2 linked regions of the Tribolium castaneum genome follow. The main gene of each other region encodes a partner of the protein of the gene in region 2 in a complex. Links are inferred from orthologs where the notes say so. Each region holds a gene or a part of one and is shown on either strand. Other genes may lie near its edges.

Region 1 (2,749 bases), on a different chromosome or scaffold from region 2:
GCTGTCCAATGTCTCAAAACCTTAAAACCTATCCTACGTGATAGGTTTTTTCCATAAAATTTAATAAAATCACACCATGGTTGTGGTCTCTTAGGCTCAAAAAAACATTTTGGGGAAAATCAAAAAAACACTTCAAAAATCAAAATTACCTCAGTGCGCTGGCGGGAAACCGGCACGCAACGGTAAACCTCGCCGGCGCCCTTTCAGCACGTGGTGCAATAACACAACGCAGTTATCGCAGCCCTAGACGGCCATCATTGGCCCCCACGTCCTGCACCACCTTCACTCCTCCGACAATTGTCAGTCCAAAAATCGGCGAATTTTTTACTCTCGGCGTTTTCAACGGCGAAGCCACACGTCGCGACCGGCGCGCTCAGACACCGGCGTAGAACCTGCGTGTATTTAGTTTTATTGATCGCACATGGACGACCTTGAATTTGGTTAAAGAGGAGGTTGCGTTGCAGAAAGTGGTCCTGCACTGCCCTTGCGCGAGACCTTGAAATTTTCGCTACAACTGGGCCCTGGGAAATCGATGCATTGCCCCAGGTGGTGCCCAAGGTGCTTGAATTGTCGGACGTAGGAAAGGGGAAAGACAGGTTTGCAAATAATAACCCCAATGTAAAAAACACTCTATTCCAACCTTAATTAATTACAATTTTTTCACCGGGCGTCAAACACGGCCACTGGATCAAAGTTAAGGAAAAATTAACTGAAAATTTGCAAGTGTTAGTAATTGATAATAAAAGGATACATCGTTTGGTTCTCTTCTTGTACATAATACGGTACCCACATTCCCGGCACCTGATTGGATCCCGCGGCCTTATTTCGTTCTCATTGTGGCATTCTAAATAATTTTCGAAAATTTTCAAATCAAAACATAACCTCACTTTCACGTACCTCCGCAAATGTAAACCATGGGAGTTTTCGTGGCCCCTGAGTCTTTGGTCGAAGGTTCCGACATCCTAATCACTTAAATTAGCACAATTTTTAATACAAACGAGCGGGAACGTAGTTTTCTCCTCTAATAAATTTTGTATAAAAACAACGCCACCATGCCGACTTAGGGAATTTCATCTTTTTTTTGTTATTCCAACGGTTGGCAACGCCAACGTATACAAGCGCGAAATTCAAAAAGGTGCAGGAATTTTTGATAGTTTATTAAAATTTTATTGAAATATAATACGTCCATTCCACATACCCAGCTCGAATCGTACTTTGTAACACTTGACCCGTCTTCAAATATCGATATTGTCATCACAATATGGCCAAAATTTGTTTACAATATCTCATTTAATAAAATAAACTACACAATAAAATAAATAAAACAAGCTAAAAAATACAAATTCACTATAAATGGCTACGGTTGCCTTTAATTAATAAAACTGCGATCCTCAATCGTCATATACATCCCTTCTTCCTCATATGTCGAATCATGTTTTGCCAAAATACGCAATAGAGGGCGCAGTTTCAACCACCATTGCTCTTTAGGCATACGCAAGCTAAAACAATTTAAAGTAATTATAAAAAACAGTTTAATAATTTATAAACGTACTCAAAGTTGGTTTGTTCTTTCAACTCAGCGACTGGTGTAAACTTGTATTGTCTTTTAACGATTCCTAACAGAACGACGCTGTCTTGACTAGAACAACTGACTGAGCCGTCTGAACTCATATTGCTTTTTAATTGGTTGATCATCCATTCGACCGCTTTGGACGCCATTTTGGTACCAACATTGCGGTCAAAAGGTGTGGGGGAACCCCCTTGTTGCATATGACCTTAACAATACACACACAAAAAAAGTATTAAATTTTTAAACAAACAAACGTCTATATAAATACCTAAAACGTTCATCCTGGCACTAAACAAGCCTTTTCCTTCCTCACAATACAATCTGTAGATAAAGTCGGTATTGTAGTTATCTGACGCTTTTTCGTTACGTAAAATTAAACCACGTTGTACACCTTCGGACATTTTCGTAGCCATGTGGTAGACATCTTGTTGCAAGTCTTTAATTGTGAATTTTTCCTCGTAAATGTACGCAGCATCCGCACCCCCAGCGAGACCTAACATGTGAAAATAAGTTGGCGATGCTGAATAATGAATGTGTTGGCAACATTGACTGTCAAACTTAAACATTAATATTTACCTTTTTTATATCATTAATAGATATTTAATTACCCCATGCATCAAATATACAAGGTGTATCAGAAATAAGATAATACAAGTAATACGAACTCCTATATTTTATTTCTAAAATGGAGGATTTTGGAAGAAATAAATTACGTCAAAAACTAAGTAGTTCTGAAACAACCTGTATAGGGTCGAATATTTTACGTTTTGAGACACAAACTGTCTTCATTTCATACAATGTTGCCAACTTAATATCGATATTACCTGCAAGTGTGGCCAAATATCCGCAATACCCGCCCATGGTTTCAATAATAAAAACCCTCCTTTTCGTGCCTTGAGCCGACTGTCTGATTCTATCACAAATTTCGGTGATTTCGTTCAAGGCTGTGTCACAACCTAGTGAAAATTCCGTCCCTGGTACATTGTTACTGATAGTTCCGGGGATTACCACGATTGGTATATTGAGAGCTGGAAAATCTTTACGGCTGTCTAGAAATTGTACAGCGGCTGCAAATGCCTAAACCACAATTTTTAGTTCTTCGAGCCGGATAAAGTTAAAACTTACTTCAAAGCCGCCAATAATGAGTAAACCTTGAATTTTAAATTCGGCCAATCGGGC
Region 2 (3,638 bases):
CCAATAAGAAAAAAAACCGGGTTGACATAAATTTACTTGGAAAAAAAATCCTAAATTTCATCTTGACAGTCTGAAGTCTGAAGAATTTTTCGGTATTTTATAACTCGATTTATTTTCCATTCGTAGAGCCTTATTGGCAATAAAAATATTTTCAAAAATTCATTTCGTTTTGTGTAACTCAAGTCGTATCAGATTTATTGAACGCCTGTATTTGCCACAAGCTTGGCAACCTTAAAGCTCTCAGCTTCGCTTCGAGCTTCAATATTACATAATTATTACCTCTCTCCATCATCCTGATGGCTTCTGCTATATAGGGCACCAGAAGCCTGTTAACAATAAACCCGGGGGTGTCCTTGCAGGTGACGCAGGTCTTGCCCACGGCTTTGCCCCACGCCATAAAGGCCTCGTACGTCTCCTGCGACGTCTCCGGAGTCCTAACAACCTCCAAAAGCTTCATAACGGGCACGGGATTGAAAAAATGCAGCCCCCCGAACCTATCCTTCCTCTTCGTAACGGAGGCAATTTCGGTAATCGAGAGCGAGCTCGTATTTGACGCAAACATGGTTTTGGGGGGCGCGACCTCATCCAAATTTTTGAACAATTTGTGCTTAACATCCATGTTTTCAACAATCGCCTCCACGACCAAATCGCTGTCTTTCACAGCTTCGGCAATGTCGGTGCACCCCTTAATCCGGGCCTGCGATTCGCTCACGAATTTATTAGCGGCTTGCGGGTCATCCTTGTGGAGTTTTTTGGCGACTCGTACCAAGTTTTTCGCAATGCTGTCTTCGGCTTTTTTGATCAAGTCGGGGTTGACTTCCACGATGGTCACGTTGTGGCCGGTTTGCGCGGCCACCTAAGCAAGGGGGCGAATGTTAGGTTAGGTTCGGGTGGTTTGGGGTACACTTACTTGGGCGATGCCTGAGCCCATGAGGCCGCCCCCGATCACAGTTACGTTTTTTATAACTGCGTTCATGGGGCTTGAAGTTGAAAGGCTTCGCTTGATGAACAGGTTTAGGGCCATTTTTTCGCGTTCGGTTACGAGTAAAAAGTGGTGTGTAATGCGGATTTTGTTTGGTTTATTAACGATACAATAACTAGGTGAAAGTCCAAGTTTGTAACCTATGATCGACTCCCACCGCTACGTTTGTGTACTTTTTAATCATTTTATCGTTTATGGCGAGATTAGGGCTCAGAAGTGAAAATCATCGTGCCGATGGTTTAAAAATAATCCGCTTTCGATAACGAGTGCGACTTTTGTACCTGAATTTATTTAGGTATTATGTAATAAAAGTGCAACATCATTCAGTCAAGTGGTACACAGGAGGGTTCCAAAATGGGGCTATATAGCAATCCCTGTTATCAATTTATCCACTTTTTTCAAAGAAATACTTGAAAAAAAATATAATTTTGGGGAAATTTGTGATTATGCAATCAGCAATACACGTGTGAGAGGTTAGTTGCATTCTATAAGTTGTCAAATGTCATAAAAACACCAACTTTTGTAAGAAAAATAATTTATTTCTGATTTAAAAAAGTACACAATTCTCGATTATCAACAATGGTTAATGTAATGAAAGGCGTTTTGGTGACCTGGTAAGGCCCTAACAATTTTTTTGAGTTTTTGTTTGACATAACCTCAATCATGCCAGATAATCCAAATCTCCGGGAATCCCAAACTGCTTATTTAAAACCTTATCTTCCATCATAAACTTCCTTTTGCACCATGATTTGACCGCGAAGATATTATCAGTCCATCGATTTGCTGCTTCTTTTACCGGTTTTATCTCACTTTGCATTAATTTCAAATTTTGAGTATCTGTGTGAGATTTCGACAGAGATTCGAATTTTTCTTTCTGTTTTTCCAGTTTTTCAATTTCCTTCAAAATCTGGCTGTCGTCCCAATTCTCTTTCCCCACCTGCGCTTTTTCCATAGTTTCGTCAATTAATTTCAATTTTTTTGTTGACGATTCTAATTTCGTTTGAAGCTCGTTAAGTTTGCGTTTTTTCGCGTTAAGTAATTTGCTGTAATTAGGATAAAACGTGTTTTTGGCCCGTCTATACCGTTTTTCGGACACTCTCCCAGTTATCTCAGTGATCTCCGTTATTATAAGAGATACGAGGTCGGTTAAATTAGGGCAAAGTTGCGCATTTTTATGCTGAACAATTATTTGAAAAAAAAAATTGTAATTTTCGTTTTTATTTTTTCAAGTGAAAACCAAAAGAACTAGACGTAGGACTTTTTCGGGCACTTTTTACAAGGAATCTAAATTTGTCATCGGATTTTCCTAGGCTTGCTTGATGTCAGAGTTACAACACTTAACTTCGTTTTTTTTATGGGAAAAAAATAAAAACGAAAATCATTTTTTTAAATTTCTCTCAATAATTCAAAAACTAAAAATGGCACATAAAATTTTCTTTCAGAAATTGTTTTGCATACAAATGCACAACTTCTCAAAAAAACGGACACCCTGTATAATATTTACCTGGGAAAAGCCCAAAAGTAGACGGAACTCCCGATCTTATCCTTATCAACAGAACCATCATCCACCAAAGCTTGGACCACTTCTTTCACAGAATTCGCCGTAATTCCTTTCTCCTTTGGCGCAATTATTTCCAATTCATTCATTTGATAAAAATCCCCAGTCTCGTGAAACAATTGCAACATCCTAGCCTTTTTCTCCTCAAAACTTAGACCTTTTTTCTTGAACATTTTCCCCTAAAAAATGCGTTGTTTCAGTGACCAGGCCATGAAACAATTCCTTTTGTATTTAGATGAGACTACAAAACTAGGCCGAAAATTCATAATTCAGGACTTGGATGAAAACCACTTATTTATTTCAGCCGATATTTTAGAGACATTACAGGCAAAAATCGACGATCTGATGGACCAAATTAGCTTCCCAGTCGCCGAAAAAAGCAATTAATTTTTTGTAATTTGCAAAAGTGAGGTTATGTCATATTGATGTGTGGTCATTCGAATTATAAATAAAAAGCGCAGCATTTATATAATGACGTGTTTTGCTATAAATAATATCGTTGCGGGCCGGTTTTCGTCCATACTTACGCAATAAGGCACTAATTAACTGTTTTTTCAAATTGTCGGTACAAATAATACAGTTCCCTGTAAATTGGAAGTGGCTACAATTACGCTTCTTTGATAACCGACTATTCTACAGTTGTTACGCCATCACGAACATTTTTACACACAAATGATAAGAATAGAATTAAGCAATAGATAACGGAAACGTGTCACTAATTATAATTTTTCCCTGATTTAATAGCCGCCGTGACGTAACCACAGCCACATGTCAAACGTCACAATTGACTTCTTTGGTTATGTTCCGTTTGTCAAAGTTATAAAACGAAAAAACGCGTTTCTCGGCCACAAATCATCAAGTGTGTTAAGTTCCGTGTCAGTGCATTTACCCCCATCATGACGGTGCCCACCCCCAGCGAGAAACTCCTCACCAATGGCTCCACCACTCCCAAGCGCCAAAACGGCCAAAAATCGGGCCTCATGAAGCTATCAAGTTACGTGCTAGCCTTGCGTCCGTGGTCCCTCAGTGCCAGTCTCATGCCCACACTGTTGGGCTCCACCATAGCGTACAAATACCCCGGAGTTACCGATTTCAACT

Evidence for each region.
Region 1: Tfb5 (region 2) and Polr2K share a complex: the UniProt entries of both Homo sapiens proteins name them as parts of the TBP-based Pol II pre-initiation complex. The link is inferred for Tribolium castaneum from reciprocal best matches to the Homo sapiens genes GTF2H5 and POLR2K.

What each region holds. Positions count from the first base shown.
Region 1 is NC_087394.1:4,870,957-4,873,705, forward strand, and holds Polr2K (DNA-directed RNA polymerases I, II, and III subunit RPABC4), read right to left. Parts: upstream 1,090-2,749; 5' UTR 962-1,089; coding exon 898-961; intron 845-897; coding exon 752-844; intron 684-751; coding exon 661-683; 3' UTR 618-660; downstream 1-617. Other genes in the region: Pfk (ATP-dependent 6-phosphofructokinase), read right to left, coding at 1,370-1,499, 1,553-1,775, 1,839-2,063, 2,395-2,647, 2,696-2,749. UniProt on the Homo sapiens protein: DNA-dependent RNA polymerase catalyzes the transcription of DNA into RNA using the four ribonucleoside triphosphates as substrates.
Region 2 is NC_087399.1:6,497,746-6,501,383, reverse strand, and holds Tfb5 (general transcription factor IIH subunit 5), read left to right. Parts: upstream 1-1,454; 5' UTR 1,455-1,561; coding exon 1,562-1,596; exon of another isoform or gene 1,597-1,643; coding exon of another isoform or gene 1,644-2,025; intron 2,026-2,486; coding exon of another isoform or gene 2,487-2,713; exon of another isoform or gene 2,714-2,719; intron 2,720-2,740; coding exon 2,741-2,927; 3' UTR 2,928-3,012; downstream 3,013-3,638. Other genes in the region: hydroxyacyl-coenzyme A dehydrogenase, mitochondrial, read right to left, coding at 280-856, 911-1,024; meiotic nuclear division protein 1 homolog, read right to left, coding at 1,644-2,025, 2,487-2,713; heix (ubiA prenyltransferase domain-containing protein 1 homolog), read left to right, coding at 3,437-3,638. UniProt on the Homo sapiens protein: Component of the general transcription and DNA repair factor IIH (TFIIH) core complex, which is involved in general and transcription-coupled nucleotide excision repair (NER) of damaged DNA and, when complexed to CAK, in RNA transcription by RNA polymerase II.